Linked DNA regions of Lonchura striata. Each later gene encodes a partner of the first gene's protein in a complex. Links are inferred from orthologs where the notes say so. Each region holds a gene or a part of one and is shown in the gene's direction. Other genes may lie near its edges. The genes, in order: adhesion G-protein coupled receptor G1 and CD81.

The links.
Region 2: adhesion G-protein coupled receptor G1 (region 1) and CD81 share a complex: the UniProt entries of both Homo sapiens proteins name them as parts of the GPCR-tetraspanin complex. The link is inferred for Lonchura striata from reciprocal best matches to the Homo sapiens genes ADGRG1 and CD81.

What each region holds. Positions count from the first base shown.
Region 1 is NC_134615.1:17,338,988-17,348,468, forward strand, and holds the start of adhesion G-protein coupled receptor G1, read left to right. Parts: upstream 1-5,340; 5' UTR 5,341-5,465; intron 5,466-9,481. UniProt on the Homo sapiens protein: Adhesion G-protein coupled receptor (aGPCR) for steroid hormone 17alpha-hydroxypregnenolone (17-OH), which is involved in cell adhesion and cell-cell interactions.
Region 2 is NC_134608.1:47,036,667-47,046,192, forward strand, and holds the start of CD81 (CD81 antigen), read left to right. Parts: upstream 1-5,921; 5' UTR 5,922-5,995; coding exon 5,996-6,061; intron 6,062-9,526. UniProt on the Homo sapiens protein: Structural component of specialized membrane microdomains known as tetraspanin-enriched microdomains (TERMs), which act as platforms for receptor clustering and signaling.

The sequences.
Region 1 (9,481 bases):
GGCTAAAAGCCGAATCTCTGGGCGGTGGGAGCTGCTGCTGGGGGGCTGTGTCTCCTGGGGACTGCGCCCTGCCCGTGGTCTCTCTGTTAGCGACCAGCACTGACCACTGCTTCTCTTCGGAAGCGCTTTCGGATTGCCCGTGTGGGTCTCCTCCGCTGCCGGGTGAGCTCTGGCCGGGGTCTGCTGCCGCTCGGACACCCCTCCGTGTGGTTGGGGCAGGTCCCACTAGATGGCACAAGGATCGCAGGAATGGTCCCAGATCGGGGCTATGAACGCGCAGGGACGGCCGGGGGCGATGCGGGACCGCGGCGGTGCCGGTGAGCGGTGCCCGTGTCCCCTGACAAACGGGAGGGGACCTCTGAGCCCCCTTGAGGAGCTGCCGCTGCGCATCTCTCAAGGCACGGACAAAAGCGGGAGATCTCCGGCTACATCCCCCAAATCCGTTTGGTGCCAGCACGGCTGCAGGGTGCCAGGAGTGGCTGTAAGGCTGTGGCATCCCAAAAACACCCGCACCCTGGGTTTTCACTCACGACAGCATCACACTAGAAGCCCTCCCTCTCGCCCCAAATCCAGCGCAGGGATGGAGCCCACCTGCACCCCTGGGGCGGCGGGAAAATGGGTGAGCACGGCTTTGTCTTGGTATCGGGCAGACGAGTTTGGGTGGAGGAGAGGATGGGAAGTGAGTAAGTGAACTGATACTCGGCTTTCCTCCCGCTCTCGCTGAGGAAGGCAGACTCCAAGCAAAACTCCTCAAGGTGACAAACACTTTTGGAGTTGAAGCAATCCAGCCTGAGGAAATAAATAGCCAGGACAAATTGTGGGAACTAAATCCATCAGGTGGGGACAGCGAGTCAGCCCTGAGCCCGTGGTGCATCCGCATAAACCAGACATCACCTGGAAATGTTACCGGGGTTTTTCCTCTCTTGATGCCCGAGGTTTTGGAGCTGGACATCTCACTCTGCCTGCTGGAATGCAGACCAGCATCGCAGCATGGCAAATCCGCCTGTGGTGACATCTGGGTCCAGATGTCCCCACATCTGTCCCCACGCTTGTACCTGCAGGGTGAGCCAGAGAGGTGCCATTAGCCGGTGCTGCCCGTTTCTGGCCCGGTGCAGGGGACCGAGCGCCACCGGACACACTGCCCATCTCTGCCCAGTGACCTTTCCCTTTCTGGCTCCTTCCCGCTTCTGGACAGCGAAGGAAGCCTCTGGCTGTTGTTCTTTGTTCCAGGCACAAAGGGCAGCCAGCGCCGCGCGTTCCCGTCAGGGCTGCCGGCATCCCGGACAAAGGCCCGTCCCGCCGGGGCTCTGTGTCCCCTCCCTGCAGCCCCCGGGCCCCGCGGTGCCCCGGTGTCACCGCGCGGGGATGAGCTGTGCATGGCTCACCGCTCCGGCGGTGATTTCAGCTATTCACTGAGAGGCCTGCGGGTTTGGTGGGATGCCAAGTGCCCGACTTTCCTCCATGAGCCCCGCCGTGGCAGAGTCACATCCCAGCACTTTGCGTGCCCTTTTCTCCCTGTGGGACTCAGATTCAGCCAAAGAGAGAAACGAGAGTTTCTAGCCAGGCAGAAGCAGAAGAGCTGGAGAAGAATGTAAATAATTCTTTATCTCTCTTGTTTTTCACATTGTTTATAGTTAAGTTCTATCACTGTGTGTCAAGCACTTTGCACCAATGCTGTGGGCTGTTTTCACTTCAGAACCAATGGAGTTGGTCCTCATGAAGCTCTGTATGAAAGAGCAGTGTATTTTGAATAAATCTGAGTTTTACTTTCAGCAGCCTTCTGGTCAGTCTTCTCATTCCCGTCCTGCCTCGACAGCGACATCTCCCCATCTGCAGATTTCGGGGTTTGTAGTGTGAGTCATGCTGGCTGCTGGTATCCGGTGGCGCTTGGAAAACAATCATCACTCGGTGGTTGCCTCCTGGCAGCGGGAACACAGCATCCCTGGGTGGTCCCCAGGGAGCTACACCTTTTGGGGACTGATGGGACATACTGGTTCTTGGGTAGCTGAGCCCACTGCTGGTGCCCAGGGGTCACCCTTTTCCCACCCTGCTGCACCAGGAGCAGGGTTGGAGCACTCCCCAGGCCCCCAAGGAGCACGGGTTGGGATTGAGCTTCCTACCCCGCCAGTGCCACGGTGCCAGGGCTGGCTCCATCCAGCACCTGGGCATGGGCGTGAGAGGGCCCAGGCCCTGTAATCTTCTCAAGGAGAAATGCTGCCATTTCTAGGCACCTTGCCTGGCAGGAGGCCAGGGCTGGGCTGCTGGAGGGGTTGTGCCATCTTTTCTCCCCAGGAGAGGAAGGTTGGTGGCACCACAGTGCCTTCAGGCTTCAGAGGCAGCCTTGGCTTCAGGATCAAAGCTGTGGAATTATAGCAAATGCTACAGATTTTGGGAAAACAAGCAGCCAGGAAAGACACTAAATCCACACAGGAAATGGAAGGTTTGGAGAAGACCTTGGCTCCATTTTGGGATCTGCCTTTGGGACTTGTCTGCTGGAGAGCTGATGAGCCTAGTTAGTGCATCCCATGGGAGCATCCTCACCTGGTGCAGACACCCGCAGGGACCAATTTTCCCCCAGACTTCCCTGACATCATCGGGGGTTTATTTGCAAAGCCGAGCCTAAACAAATAATCCGGGTTTGCTGCTGTGCCTACGGGTTCAGGTTTTACTGCCTTGGCACCTGTTGTGTCGCTGTTATCATTGAGGGAGAAATCCCGATGTGGGGAGCGGTGGACCCACCTCCCCACCGGATGTTTTTCCAGGAGGAAGGCTGAGGGAGGTGGGGCAGCAGCAAGGGAGAAGCAGGAGCACCCGCTGCTCCTCAAAGGTAGCTGAGAAACTCCCCTAGCATCACCACCCTCGAGGTTCCCAAGGCTGTCCTGGCATTGCTCACCACATTTGGATGAGAGATCTAGGGACATGCCCTCCCACCAGCCCCCTTCTGCTTCCTCCTCCTCCTCCTCCTCCATCCACCGCGGTTGGCCTGAGCCCTGTTTATGGTGGCATTTTGCTGGCAACACCCAAGAGGCTTTGAGTGGGTCTGGGCACCCTGGCACGGCTGGGCAGTGGGGCTGGCACAGCCCTCGGCTGCAGACGGCACCAGGGCTCCCCTGCCCACGCTTGTCTCCCTCGTTTGGCAGCAGCCCGGTGCGACGTGCCCTCTCCTGCCGGAGTCTGCCCATCCCCTCGATCTGCTGGCACGCTCCCTCCCGCCCGCCGCCGGAGCCTTGAGCAGCTTTCAGCAAGATTTAGGGCTTTTAGAGGATTTGGAAGTCTTCGGGTTCTTTTGGAGCTTTTAGAGCTTTTAATAAAATGAAAGGGTTTTGGGAGCTTCAGGGCTTGCTGGGAACTCTTGGGGATTTTAGGAACTTATAAGAGGTTTAGTAACTCTTAAGGCTTTTAGTAATTTTTAGGGCTTTTAGGAACTTAAAGGATATTCAGGAACTTTTAGGGCTTACGGAGTTTTAGGGCTTTTATGATGTTGTAGGGTTTTTGGGACATTTTAGGGCTTTAGGAGCTTTCAGGATCTTTTAGGACTTTCAGGAACTTTAAGCATATTTATGAGCTTTAATGGATTTAGGAGCTCTTAGGACTCTTAAAAAGTTGTAGGGCTTTCATAGGAATTCCCCAGTTCAAGCAATAAACACTTATCAGGCTGAGCCCAAGGGCAAATGTCCCTTCCAAGAGACAACACAAGGATTTCCTCCCTCTTCGCGCTCAGGCAGTGTCTTTGAAGGTCTGTCGATTTACAGATAATCCCGACAACACCAGCAACTGCAGGCGTTGACCTAAAAATAACTCCTGATAGCATGGAATGCAGACAAAAGACTCTTTGTTCCACGAACAGCAGCAAAAAGTCCTTTCCTCACTGGTCCGAGGGGTCTGCACCTAATTCCCCTCCCCAGGAGAGCCTAATCCTGGTTTTAGCCGAGTTATTCCCAGGAGGTGGATTTATGGCGTTTCCCCAGAGAGCCGGTCGGGATGACCCGCAGTGCGAGGCTTGGCTCACCGCGATGCTCCCGCGGCTCTGGCTGCTGGAGCGTGCGTTTCTGAGCTCGCCCAGCTCCCCGAGGCGTGGGGACGGCCGGACTTCAAAGGCAGCTCTGTTAGCCACGGTCCGGCCTTTTAGGCACGGTCCGGCCGCGTGAGCTGCTTCCCACGGGAGCCTCGTCCCGTGGCAGCCAGGGAAACTGGGCTTGGAGCTGGAAATTAAACCGAGCACTGTGGAAATTAAACCGAGCACTGGGGTGACGCAAACGTGCGGGATGTCCTCTGCTCCAGGGATCCCAAAGCAGCCATGGCACCTGCGGTGGCACAATTCTTGTGGATCAAGGTCCATCACCTTTCTGGCTGGGGCGGAAAGTTGTTTCCACCCTTCCCCCCCCTGCAGAAAGAAAAGTCTCATTCAAGCTATTGAAAATATCTGCAAGAACAACTATTTACTCAGGGCACTTCCCGGAGCTCTCCCCCCGGCCCTGCCCGCGTCTCGGCTTTCTCCAGCGCGGCTGTTTCCCGGGGCACACACAAAGGGCTGGGCTCAGGCGCTGCTGGCAGCGGCGATACCCGCTCCGCCAGCCCTGCCTCGACAATCGCAGCTCCCACCGGGGGCCAGCGTGCCCATCTCCAGCCTTGGGGTGGGTGGTGGGGCCGCTATGGTCACATCCAGGCTCTACACCCCACATCCCAGCCCACCTGCTCCAGGGGAGTGCCGTGTATCCCTCTCCTGGATCTGGGCTCCTTGCCCTGCTCCTTTCCTCCCTCACACCGTGCGGGGAGTGGGACAGGGGTCACCGGGACACTCCGTCCCGGCTGCTTTCCCATTAATTGTTATTTTTTAATCCCGTTGGCAGTCAGGCGTGCAGCCTGCTGGCTCCGGCTCCTCCGGCCCGGCCCGCCGCTGGACGCCCGCCAGCCCGCAGGGAAGGACGGCGGGACGCGGCACGCCCGGCTGTCCCCAGCCGAGTCCCGCAGCCCCCCGTGGTGCCCCCGGTGCTGCCGGCCCGGGGCTCGCCGGGCAGGTGCCGTGCCGTGGGACGGGGTGGGGCCGCTGGTCCCGGGATACCGCTCTGAGCCGAGCCGGGCTGCGAGGCGCCGAGCCGTGACGTGCCGTGCCGAGCCGAACCGAGCCGGGCCGAGCAGAACCGGGCAGGTGCCGTGAGCGGCGGCGCTGACCCCGCGGCTCCCGCAGAGATCGCGGGGGTCTCGGAGGGGTCGGTGCGGGGGGCTCGGTCCCGGTACCGCCCCGCTGAGTCACCGCCCGCCGGCGGGGCGGGGCGGGGCGCTGCTCCGGGCACCGCGCTGAGCGAGCGGGCTGCGAGGTGTGGTGCTGAGACGAGCCGTGCCGAGCCGTGCCGAGCCGTGCCGAGCCGTGCCAGCCCAGCCGAGCCGTGCCGAGCCGTGCCAGCCCTGCCGAGCGGAGCCAGGCGGAGCCGGGCGGTGCCGAGCCGAGCCCGCTCCGACTCCAGGTACGGGAACAACGGGGAGCGGGTGAGCCGGGACGAGGGAGGATCGGGGAGCCCGGTGTCCGCCGTGGGGCGTCGGTCCGGCACCGGGAGCCGAGGGGATGCTGCGGCACTCCGGGCGGGACAGGAGTGACAGGGTGGGCGTCAGGCGGGGCACCGGGCAGCGCCCCGGCTCGCTCGGGCAGGGAGCAGCCTGGAGGGATGGAGGGATGGAGCGGGGGGTCTCTATGGGGGGCTTGAGCAGCACCCCGGTCCCGGTGCGGGGGCTCCGCGGTGGGTGTGATGTGTCCGGCTGGGCACGGCCCTGGGATTCCGTTCGTGGCCATGGTGCCGGTTATCTGTGAAACCAGCCTTCATGCCTGCTCCATGGGACTCGCACTCGCCTGCCCCGGAGCCAGGCTGGATTCCTGGGCCGTGGAGCCACAAAGCCTCCCGAGCTGTCCCGGACCGGCTGCTCCGGGCTGCTGCCAGCAGCAGAGATGAGCTCCACGAAGCCCCGGCCGTCGGCCGGTGTGTGGCCATTGCTTGGCACTTTGTGGGAACCACCAGCACACCCCGTTCCTTCCTCTCCTCCTCGGCGGAGGGTGCAGCATCCCATGGGATCGCTGGCATGCCTCGACAGGGTGATCTCCCTTCCCTAAAATGCCTTTTGGGGGATTCCTCCTGCAACATCCCAGTTTGCTGCTGCCGGTCCTGGCATGTCGGTGCAGGATATGGGATGCAGGATGCTTGGGGTGCTCTCTACCCACTGTCTGTGCTGCCCCTCCAGAGAGACCAGTAAAACTCAGTGAGACCAGCAGGAGAATTGAAATGAAGTCTCCTGGAATAACCTCCTGGCAGCAAATCCGAATGGCTGTTGTGGAGGGAAGGCAGCCAAAGCTCATTTCATGGTCTGAGGGCTGCAGAAACCCTCCCACCCCCCCCCTCCCCCCAAGCTCCACCACCAGTGGGGAGCCAGGAGTGTTTCAGAGATGGGGGGGGGGGGGGGGGCAAAACCCAAATCCTTTGAGCCTGGAACTGCAGCCACAGTGGGGTTTGCCGTGTCCCTTGCTGGGTTCACAGCTCCCATGTGAATTAAGCCAAGGACTGAAAATGCTGCATACTTGGTTGCAGTCCAGCTCTTAATCCTGCGGCCTGGGGGCTGCTATTTGCAGAGTAACAGGTTTGCAAGCAACTGTGTGCTGCCTGAACGGGGGATCCCGGAGATAGGCCATGCCTGCACCTTGCAGTGGCACCCGAGGGTGCAGGGTCAGGGCTGTGTGGTTTACAGACTGCAGGCTGGGTGTCTCCCAGCGTGCCAATGTCTGCACGGGACCAGCTGGGCACAGCCTGCTGGCGCCTGTTTTTCAGGAGCTCTTGGACTCACCAACTCCTTTCCCATCAGCTCACCCGACAGCTGGGGTTTGGCAGGAATCTGGGAGGCCCACAGTCTGTTACCTGGCTCCTTGGGTGCTGCAGACTTTGCCCTCACTAGGCTCCAGCACCTTGTTTTCTGTGCCAAATACCTGGGAACCTGATTTGGGGTGGTCCTGAGCTACTTTGCACTGCTCTGCACCCCCCTTCCCTGGCACCTGCAGAACAGGCAGGTGATGAGGACCTTGCTCATGTCAATGGGGATAAGATCTGGGAGTGGACCGGGTGTTTTGGGAGCCACTTGAAAGCCAAAGGAGTGGTTTGGAAGGGGGATGTGCAGGAGGAGAAATAGGGTTGCTCTCAAAGAAGACTGCATGGTGGGAGTGTGTGGCAGGGACAACTGGCTGTATCCCTGTGGCCAGAGATGTCCTTGCACTGCATTGTCGCTGTGTCACGTCAGCCTCAGTCCAGTGTAGGTGCACCTGGTCCTTTGCAGAGTGAGTGTGGCTGCTGCTGAAGCCACAAGGCTTCGCATGCTGCCGAACCAGGTGTTGTGTTGCCCTGGCGCTGGAGGAAGTGCTGGGTTAGTTCACTGTAATACTTCTGTTTGTGGTGTTTTTTAGGAAATGGAAATTTAAAAAAAAGATTTGAATGTCAAGACCCAGCTCTAAGAAAAAGCTCTGTCTCAGGAGCCCCAGGCACTGGCAGGCGCCTGTGCCAGCCTCCCCTTGGTTCTCCCCAGGCCTTTGTGGGAAGGGACGGCTGCCAGTGGCTGGCAAAGAACAGACCTGGCAGGGATCTTTCCCGTGAGAATCACCATCAGATCTGGTTTCATCCTGTTGGCAAGACCCATCTTGAAGGTGCTGGGAGTTCTGTGCAGTGCCACGGCCTGGGAAAAGCTGCGGCACCCCATGGTACAGCTTGGCACTGCCAGGCTGCTGGCACAGTGCAGCTGCCCCTCGACTCCTTGGGCCTGAGCCAACGCGCCCGGTCAGCCCCGGCCGCCCCCCGGTGCCGGGAATCACATGCCAATGCCATGAATAACGCGTGGCTGGCCCTGCGGGCACGCACCACTGCCCAAGGACAAGGGCACTTTGTGAAGCTCTCAGATACTGACACTGGGGCATCCCTTTGCAGGGGCACCCCCATCCTTGGACAGTTCCAGACCCAGGGAACCTTGTTTTTGGTCCCTACGATGAGGGATTGGTTGTGCAAAGCTGTTTTGCATCTCCAGGAGCCCGTTCTGGCTTGCCTCTCTGTGCCAGCTTCCTCATTATGCTGCTGAGTCCCTGCCTGAGTAACCAACTGCGGTGATGAACTTGACTCATTCACATCTCGAGGAACAGAGCGTCACTTTCCTAACGGACCTGGAAGGAAAACAGATAAAAGCTCCTGGATCTCCCTGCTTCCGGTGTTTGTTTGAGTCATCAGAGCATCTTCCCTTCTCCTTGGGAAAAATGTCATATCCAAAAGCCACGTGCCACCTCTAAAAACTTAAATGTGTGCTGCCAAGTCACCCAGAAAGCAGTAAGGTGGAAGTAAACACCAGGCTTTTTGTTTGTGGGGTTTTTAGTCTTTTTTCCCCCCATTCACCTAAGGTTTAGAGGCCTCAATATAATGCTTTGGCTTTTCTTTCCAAGACCAGTATCTTAATGGTGATGGGAAGATAAGAATTAGTGCCCAGGAATAAGCCTCTCTGCTGATAAGGGAGCCTGCTCCAAGCTGTGCAGCCCTGGAAGAGTCTCTGCCACCTCTTTGTACATAATCTGGTTGATTTTGAGGCCAAGCCAGGAATTTTTCCCTGCTGCCATGTGGGTATGGGGAGATGACGAGGCAGGATTCAGCCCTGACGAGAACTCAGCCCATCCGGCTACCTTTGCTGTGCTCATTGCCAGCGTGGATGGAAGCTGTGTTTTCTCACTGTGAAACCATTTTCAGGGGATTTTCTCTTGCTATTGTTTAGCTCAGGAAATGGCAATCAGAGTTGGGGTGAGCGGGACTGTACAGGGCTCGGAGGGGAAATACCGGCTCCCCCACCCTCTTTCCCACAGGGATTTCTGGTCCCAGTTGAGTAATGGCTGAAAGGAGCTGATCCTCTCCTCCAACCATCCCAATAAAACCTTAAAGATGTCAGCACAGTGGGCTGGGCTGAAGCCTCATTAGGATTCAGCATTCCCCATCCAGAGGCGATGCTTTATTGGCTTGCCAGCTCTGTGCTGCCTCAACATGGTTGGTATTCACATGAAGCTCCATTGCTTTTAAGTAATCCAGGTGTTTTCCATCACCAACAGCATTTTGCCACCCAGGTCTGTGTTTTTTTGATATATATGCAAGATTCCTAAGTGTGTGGTAAGGCACTGGGGTGCCAGCCCCATCGAAATCCATTTACTGCTGCCAAGCCATGCCTGTGCCATACCCTTCCAGTTCACACTGGGAGTCCTCGTTAGTGTCACTTAGTTACAGCCACGGCAGCAGGTTAATTAATAACCTGAAGCCCCCTCTTCTGATGATAAATTACTGCAAGAAACAGATGGGGAAGGATGCAGAGTGGGCTGTACACCCGTGCAGGATCTGTTCTGGCTTGAGAAACTTCCAGACAAAGCCTGTGCTGGTGAGGGAAATCCGCAAAGGAATTGTTAAACATCTGATGACCCTTGAGCATCTGG
Region 2 (9,526 bases), on another chromosome or scaffold:
TCCTGCAACTTTCATCTGAAGTGTCATTGCAGCTCTCTGTTCATAAAATGCAGCTGGGGGGAAAAGTGATCTATTTCTTAACTGTGTAGTTCCTCTTCAGGCAGAATGAGCAACTGGCAGCAAGGTTCAAACCTGTCCGCTGAGAGATGCAGCAATGTGTGGGACAGCAGGGAAGAGCCTGGGAGTGAAGAGGGAGCGTTCTGGAGAAGCCTCAGAGGCTGTTTTGGAAAAACACAGGCTGTGTGTGTTTTGCAGCTTTTGGCCAGAGCTGTCAAACCCATAACTGACCACAGGCCTGTTGGTGAATCCACTCCACTCCCATCATGCCATCCCTCTCACAAAAAATACTGCTACTTTCATCACTTGGCGTTTGGGGGTGCCTCAGCAGATTCATACCTGGAGGCAAACTGCATATCTACCCCTGCCAGCAGGGTCAAGGGGAAAACCCCACCTCTTTATCTGGAACAGATATATGTGTTGGTTGTTCAGCTTGCAAGGAAGTGGCACATCTTGGGAGAAATATGTTCAGACAAGCCTGGAGGTTCTCACCAACAGCTAAAGCCCTGCTGTCTGCTAGTTGCTATTCCCTTAGACTCCAGCAAGCAAAGAAGAAATTTCCTTCCCAGTATTTCTTGACAGGAAAATGCATATCCCTGTGTTGCTCACCCTGAAGTCACTGGCAATCAGTTAGCTGGGTTGTTTATATTATCCCAAGACAGAATCCCCGTCTCCCCTCAGCATCACTATGTGCTATTGTTTAACCCCTGTGTGCAGCAGCTTGCTCACGGACGTGCTTGGTTTCTTTTTAGCCCTATTACATCAGCAATAAACTATTCCAGTCTTTATTCACCTACTAATGAATTATACATTAATTATACAATAAGAGCTCTCTGCTGTGATGGGCTGGGCTCTGGCACCTCCCAAAGCACAGCTCAGCCCAGCTGTGACTCAGTCTTCTCTGATGCCCTGAGAAAAATGAATGTTCACTTTCTGGGCTCATGAGCTAAGAAGAGAGAGCGTCTGCTTGGATAGGAAGCCTGCTTGGGTATTCACTCCCTCAGCTGGAGCTCCAGCATGAGCTGATGCTGTCCTCCCCCCCCCCCCCTTATATAACCTGACCTATCACCATAGATACATTGATATAAATATTTAAAGATGGCAGAGAGACAGGCCAGGCAGATGGGAACCATTTGTTCAGTTTATTAGAAACAGAAAGTTCAGGCTCAGCTACAGGTCTCTGCTTGCTGCATCCCTCTCCCCTGAGGCTGCAAGGCAAGTGCAACCCCCTGCGCTGTCACAGTGCTTTGACTCAGCTTGTAGGGATGGGCATGGGAATTTTGGATAAGCAGGCACCATCCTCTCCTGCTGGAGCACAGAAAAGGTATTCTGAAAATGTCCCCTTAGACTTGGGGATTAGATCCCTCATACAGTGTTTTTTCTACTTAAAATGAAGGTGTTGGCTGGTTCCCCAGGGGTGTAGACAGGTCTCTCCTGAGGTGATTAAGCTCCATAGGCCAGTACATACACTTCAGTTTGCCTTTGCTGAAGTCTCTTCCTTGAAAAACAACACTGTGGGGTGTTGGCTGCCAAGGAAGTTACCCCTGAGTGCTCTGGGACTATTAACCTCCCACAGAACAAATTTCTGAGTTTCTTATCATGCATCTCCAAAATGTCCTATTTAAAGATCTTTGGTAATGCTGCTGTTGTTTGGTGGTTTTGTTTTTTTTACCACCAGAGGTAAATTGAAAATTCAGGCTATTTCTGTAGTACTTTGCAATAAAAATAAGAAATGGTGGTTAAAAGCTAACTAGGACCTCACCAGCAAAATGACATTTTTCCCCCCATGGTTTATCTGTCAGTTTTGAGCTGGCTGAGGAGGGCAGGGGGGTTGTCATGCAAGCCCAAAGCATGCAGCCAGAGTACCCCAGTGGATAAGGGATTCCCATCTGCTCTCCCAGATGTCCTGGAGACCGGTCAGTAGGTGTTTAGAGCCTGCCTCAGCTCTTCAGGCCCGTGTGAGAGCAGGAGACGATGTGTGTTATCCTCTCCCCCATCCCCCCTTCACTTTTTATAAAACAAAAAGGGTTTTAAGGGGAAGCTGCTGGAAGGCAGGTGGGCATCTCTGAGGGGTAATCAGGCTCAAAGCCCCAGGGGCTGGGTTTGCCGAGTCCCGCTGGTAAGGGATGTTCTCCTAAACTCGGACTGGGAGGCAGCATCTGCTCTAACGGACCCTGGTGAGTCATACCCAGGGGTGCCAAAACCCCCAGGAATGACACTGGCTTTTATAAACAGGTTCACAAAAAACCCCAACAACCCAAGCCAAACAGACAGAAAAAAACACTGCAAGTGCCTCCTCTCTCAGCTGCTTCATTCTGCCTGCAGACCTAATTGCAGACACACATTCAAACAGACGCTTGGTTTATTTTTTTAATTCGGGGTTTGGGGGATTTTTTAAAAAATATTTTTAGAGGGTTGTTTTTTTTTTTTCTTTCAGGGATGAAAGGTTTGGGGGAGGTAGGTAGCTTTCTCACAGCCCTGCCTGCAGCTGGCTGCTCTGTGACTTCAACCTCTGAGCACTTGAACTAGCTTTTCCTCCTGAAGAGGGAAGTCATCAGCCCTATTCATAGCACTCACACTCAATACTGGCATGTGACACCCAGACACAAACTGAATTTTTGCAAATTAGCTTTACTTATTTATAAAGAGCTGGTAAAGCCACTGAGAGCCTTGGAAAGGTAGTTGTGATACTTTATAGGCTGTACAGCAAGTAATGCAGTGTGAGAAATGAGTATGAAACATGAGAAATGAGTGTACAACACCTGAAATCACACACAGTCCTGGGAAATGGTGTCTGTTATCTTGTCACTACGCTATGGTGATTGCATTTTTCTTCCTGTACCTAAAGGCCAAAGTTTTCAAATGTACCCAGCTGAGCTGCTTAAAATAACAACAACAGAAAAGACAAACCTTGAAATACTTTTCCACTTCCAACTTTTGTTGGCATGGCAAGTTTAAACTCAGTAGGCTTTAGGCTGTAACTGGGAGCTTCTTGTTGAAGGAGATGGTGGGACTGTGGCCCTGCTGCCCCTGCCAGGGCCACAGCTGTCCCTGAGCTACATGTGCTCCTTAAGGAAGGTCCCAGAAACAGAACTCTGTTGGCTCCAAAACAAATTGTTGCCTAATACAGTTTCAGGAGGATACAAAAAAAATTAATTCTTATTTTCCATTTTCCTTCATTCCCCAACACAGGAGGAAAACAGGGCAGAAAGTAAGAAAAGAAAAGCCACAGTGAGCAGGATAAAAACAACACCAAAAAAAAAAGCAATCTTAAGCTCCCTGGAAGCAGTCTCAATGCCAACATTGTGGCAGTGATTGCACTGCTCTCCAGTGCACAACAGATGATTTGAGAGATTTGATAGACATTTTCCCTCATAGGTGGTGGGGCTGCTGCTGCTGAAGGCCTTACTGCTACTGGTTCCTTCCTCTCCCACTCCCAGACTCTCCAAGCAGCATCTCTGAGAGTTTTTTTAGGAGCAGCTGCCTAAGTGCATGAGAGGCTTCTTGGTTCATATAGACTCCTGGTATTGACCTCTAGGGTTCTTTTCCCTTTCCTTTCCTTTCCTTTCCTTTCCTTTCCTTTCCTTTCCTTTCCTTTCCTTTCCTTTCCTTTCCTTTCCTTTCCTTTCCTTTCCTTTCCTCTTTCTCTTTCTCTTTCTCTTTCTCTTTCTCTTTCTCTTTCTCTTTCTCTTTCTCTTTCTCTTTCTCTTTCTCTTTCTCTTTCTCTTTCTCTTTCTCTTTCTCTTTCTCTTTCTCTTTCTCTTTCTTCTCTTTTCTGTTTTTTTGTTTGGGGGGGGGGGGGGGTTGTTTTGCTATTTGTAGCTGTAAAGGATGGAGGTGCAGAAAAGAAGATATTGTGGGACACTGTGATGGAGCAAGTGAGCAGCTTTGGGATCCTGCCATTATCATTTGGACTGATGAGCAGGAGCCACACAGGATTACAGCTATGGCTGTAACCAGATGGGTCATGCTGATAATTCGGGACAGCAGTTACATGCATAAATAGCCTGGTGAGCCCCCGGCTTTGTTGGTAAGTCTGGATGAGTGAATGTGGCTTAGAGACAAAGGGGTTATGAATCCATGGCAAGCCCACAATCAGGGACATACTCAGCATAAGTAATTAGGGAATGGAGCCAACTTCTATTCATTCCTGGTCCCTGCTGCCATGTAGTGCATGGGCTGTTACTGAGGGACACAGAAAGTTTTGATGAACATGACAAAGCCCTGGACCAAGTCACCCCTGAGGGCAATGGGATGATTTTGGAAGAAGCTGACTCGATTTCAACATGCATGTGTAGGAAATGTGTGATGGCTAACAGCTCATTCCTGACTATGGGATGCATGGCTGGGAAGACTCCATCAGAGTGTACAAATGCTCAGAAGCTGTTCCCTGAAATCCTTCACTGGCGGGAAGTGCCCAGGCAGGAGGAGGGCAGGTTTCCCCATCTGACTCTGCAGGCGGGTGCCAGGTTCATATTTAGCTCAGTGAGGGGCTGACCTTGGCTGGAGCTGCTCACTGATGCTTTTTCCAGACATCCTCCTATGCTCTGGTTGTGTGACTTACCACCCTGCCTCTGGAGAAGTGAATGAGCTTCCTGGAAGCATAACACGGGGTGAGAACAATTTATATTTCTAAGGATGGGCCAAAGTGGGCCTCAGCTGAAAGCACGGGAAATTCCATCATTCTTCTACTGTGTAGCTTTGAGAGGGGAAGAGGTTAACTAAAATTCCCAAGCCTGTTGATATGTGTGACCCTTTTTTTTTTTTTTTTTTTTTACTTTTCTTTGGGAAAAAGAGGAATAAAAGGAAATGGGAAAAGTAAGAAATTAAAAGGAAAAAAGAAATTTAAAAAAAAAGAGGGAACTCTCTTTGGTGGGCAGCTCTGAGCACCCCCTGATGCTCTTGTTACCCAGTAACCAAAGGAAAACATCCCAAGTGGTTCTACTGAACTTGATGCAATTGCTTGCAGTACCAAAGCCAGAAGCTTAGACAAAAACTGTTCATCAGAGCAGATTTAGAGCTAAAATAAGAAGGGGAAAGAAGGAAACGCTTCTCTGAATTTCAAACTGATAGTTTTAATACAAAAGATCTTTGCTCTATTTTTTTGGAGGGGGAGGCGGGGATCCTCTCATGAATGCACCCTCAAACTTTTCTGTATAGAAATGCAAAACCTCCTGCAACCTATTCCCAGAGGTTTCTCCCTGCACCCCAGGCTGCCTGGTGATGTTTAGGAGGTGACAGTGAGTTTTAAGGGATGGAGGTCAGGTTTGGGAGGTAACATTCCTACAGCCCCCCAACACTTGCCCCCGTGGCTCCTACTTGTGCGTAGGAAACTTTGTTGTGAGCTGCCCCTGGAGGGTGAGAAGATGGGGAAAACAAAGAAATAAATAAGAGCAGATATAAAAAAAGGGGGAAAAAGAAAAAGAGGGGGCAAGAGATGAAAAAAAGGACTGAAGATGAAAGAAATAAGGGAAAAAAGAAGAAGGGAAGGGAAGGGAAGGGAAGGGAAGGGAAGGGAAGGGAAGGGAAGGGAAGGGAAGGGAAGGGAAGGGAAGGGAAGGGAAGGGAAGGGAAGGGAAGACTAAAAATTAAATAAGGGGGGAAAGGAGGGGAGGGAAAATTCAAAAGAGGAAGAAAAAAGAAAAATAAAAAAGGCAGATAATAGAAAAATAGGGGAAAGCAAAATGGAAGAGTTAGGAAAAAAACTGGGAAAAGTGGAGGAGGAAAAGGGAGAAAAGGAAAGGAAAGAAATGATGTAAGAAAGGAGGAAACACCAGGCGACCCCCAGTTTCGGGAAGGCGAGGGGGTGCCGGTGCCAGCCCCGTTCCTGGGGCGTGTCCCAGCGGCGATTCCGGGGCGGGGCGCGGGCGGGGCGGGATTTCTGCGCCCGCCGCCGCCTCGCTCAGCCAGGCAGCGCAGACTTGGGAGAGCCGTCGCCATGGGAGTGGAAGGTTGCACCAAGTGTATCAAATACCTCCTTTTCGTCTTCAACTTCATCTTCTGGGTGAGCACAGGGGTGGCGGGAAGCGGGGGATGAGCCCTCCCAGCCTTTAAATAAGGGGGCTGCAATACTGCTCGTCTGCCTGCGCCTGGCTTTAGCCTCCTTCTTGTCCCCCAGCATTGAGACTTGCTGTCTAGGATGTGCCTTAGGGGCTGCTTTTTTTTCCTTTTTTAAATTTTTTTTGGAGGGTGAAGGGGCTGATCATCCTTCCTTTTAATGCATGCATATGTAACTGTACATGCATATCTATTTATGTCTGTTTTTAAATAGATATGCAGAGGGGGAGGTAGAATCGTAGGATGGTTTGAGCTTGCAGAAGACCTTTAAGATGCTCGCGTCCAGCCGCTACAGATGTTTATGGGCGCCTTTGGGGGCGGGGGGCAGAGCCGGGGGGCGCTCCCGCAGCCCCTCTTGCTGCGGGGAAAGCGGCGCTGCCCAGCCGGGGAAGGGAAGGAGGGAGGGAGGATGCAGGGATGCTGCCAGGCGGAGGGAGGGGAGGGAGGGAGGCGCCGGCCGAGCCGCCCGCCGCAGCGGAGGGGGCGCTCAGCAGATGCGGGGGATTCGGGGCCGGGACCCGGCCGCGCCGGCACCGCTGCCCCCGCCGCCCGGGAAGTTATTTTAGGATGCAAATTCTGTCCAGGCTGAAGAGGCTGCCTTTCCTGAGAAAGTTTTGCTTGAAATAATCCATGCAGACGTGCGGCTAATTTAGCAAAAGGCGGCGTATCCCGGTTTCCCTGCGAGCCAGGTTTGCCCCGGTTAGAACAGCCTCCGGCAGCGCGAGGTTGGCTGGCAGGAGTGTCCTGCTCCTGCGCCCGGGGGCAGCCAGATATGCCCGAACAGGCTGCTGGCTTCGTGTTTTAAACACTCTGCTTTCCATCCCACGGAATGCTTTTTTGTCTTGGAAGTGAGTTCAGCCCCACCCTGGCAGGCAAGGCACCGCTTGGATGCCCCTTGTCCAGTGCCCCTTGTCTGACATCCCGCTCTCTTGTGGAGGATTTGGGATTATTTTTTTTTCTTCCTCAGTGCTTGCTTACAGCTGGGAATGTAGCAAGGGGGGTTGGAGAAGTGCAAAAGGGACCGATGGCTTCTAGAGCAAACCCTGCTTTGGCACCTGGAGTTGGCACCTGGCTGCTGACTCCTCCCTGGGGATGCCTGGGGAAACTCTTTGCGGGGTCCCCATCCTTGGGAGGTGTAGGGCTTAACCAAGGTTCACTTCAGGCCTGTTCGTCCTGTGTCTGGGTATAACACTGGCCAAGGGGGAGAAGACAAGCTCTGATATCAACTGTGTTAATTGATACCTGATGTGTTGCCAGCTGCATGAATGAGGGATAATTCCGGGTTGTTCTTTTTTAACCTTTTCCTCCACCCTTAAAATGGCCGGATGGAGGCGGGTATGGTTGTCTGTGAAGTGTTGTTCCTTCCGAGTTACCGTGCTTATCCCAGTTTTTTTCCTTGCCTTCTGGTCCTGATTTCCTGCCATTCTTGTCAAAGAAACAGCCGGCTATGCTTGTGAGGAAGGGTCTCCTGGGTGGCAGGAAGGATGCTGGGGGCTTTGCACAGCCACCGCTTCTCAGCAGGATCAGTTGTTCACTTCAAAGTCCTGTAAAAGAGTTGATCTTTTATAAATGGGCATTTTGCTTCCAAGAGGAATTGCCAAATTGCCAATCTGTATAATTTCCCTGTTATGACATCTGGTGCCTTGCCCTACCCTTTTGGCGGGTGCTCCCTGTGAGTGGGGGTAGATGCTTCAGTTCCTTCCCAAGAGGGGTACCTGTAAGCTGGGACCCACTGGCTCCCCAAAACAGCTCCCAGTGCTGGACTTGCTGGTCCGCTTGCACTGTCTCCTGTGCAGACTGGGAGCCTGGATTTGATTAGAATTAACAGTGCTTTCTGTGAGGCTAGCCAGCTGAATGGTGGTTGAATACCAGATCATGGGGTTCTCAAGCCCTTTTGTGTTGTTTTTTGAACTAGTAGTGAGGGTTTACCACAAAGGTAGGTTAGCTGCCATCCTGGAACCCCCAACTAGGGAGGGATTCTGTGCTTAACAGCAAAGTACGACGGTCCTTTTTGCAGGGTGACATTTAAGGACTGAATGTAGTGACCACCCTCATTGCAGGTTGGCTGTGTTGGGAAACCACCTCTAACCACAGGGAGGTGTGAGACAGGGCACCTGCAGCCCTTTAGTCCGCCAGCTGGTTATTATGTAAGGGCTGATGGACTCGCCGTGCTTATTTGCTTATGATTTGCCTTGTGTGCAGCTGCTGCTGGGTGCTGTTGATGAAAACAAGCCAGAGGTAGAGCCCAAAGTTTGGCAGGCACCATGCTGAGCTGCACAGGAGCTTGTTCTAGTGCCCAAGAGGAAGAAGGAAGCAATTCTCAGCCTTAGTTACTCTGATAAGTTTTTTATGTAGCCCCGCTATCCTGCTGGAGTGTAAATAAACTGACTCCCCTCTGGCTTCCTCCCCCTGCCTTCCCCTGACAGCACAGGGGAAATTTCACAAAGCTTCTGTGTTGAAAAAGCAAAAGGAAAAGGTGACCCTGCTGCCAGCTCCTCGTTCATTGTACCTGAGATGTTTCTGTTTTATTTGATTTTTTTTTTTGGGGGGGGGGGGGATTGCTTGTCCTTTGTGCATGCATTCTTGAGAAGAAGATGCCAAGATTGTGCTTGCTCCAAGGGTGGCTCTCAAGGGAGCAGTGGTTGCTGCATGGACCACGTGTACAAATGAGTGCTTGTCCCAGGAGAGAGGGTCCCCAGGTGTTTCACAGTGGCACCCACCTACTGAAGTGGTGGAGGAGGCCATGGTCAGCACCTGTGGGCTTCACCTGGTTAGCAAAACATAGGGCTGAAAAGACAAAAGTTCTTCTATGCTGCCAAGTTGTTCTGAAACTGGAGTGGCTGGTGTTGAGTGGACACCCTGCCCTGTGAGAGGGAGCAGTAGCTGTTACTGGGCAGTTTGGCTGGTGTGATGGGCAGCCCAGGCAGGGCTGGCCATCTGGCAGGTGGAGCTGCTTCTCCATCCCATCCCTACAACTGGGATGGCTCCACTTAGGACTGCTCTCCTGAATTTTCCAAACCTTATAGCAGACCTCAGTGTGTGGGGCTGAACTGACCACTGCTGCAAAGGGTCCCTGGGGAGGCTGAAGGAAGCCAGTGAACTATTTTAAAATATAATTAAACATAACCAAGGAGGAATTGACTTGCTTGGAGAAAGATTGCTCAAGCTTATTAGCTAATACAGCCCATGGCAGTGTTCCAGGTCAAGAGCACTGCTGGCTGCCCTAGCAGAGAGGTGTCTAATTAAAAGGAAGAGCTTGCTCCTAATGCCATTTTCCAGGCACTGCCTAACTCTTCTGTGTGTTGAGGGTGTTGTACAGCCTGGGTGCAAAGGGAAGGAAGGGCAAGAACAGAGGGAAGATGGAAGTGAGAGTCTGTCTGGACAGGGGTGATTGAAAGGGAAGAGGCAGAGG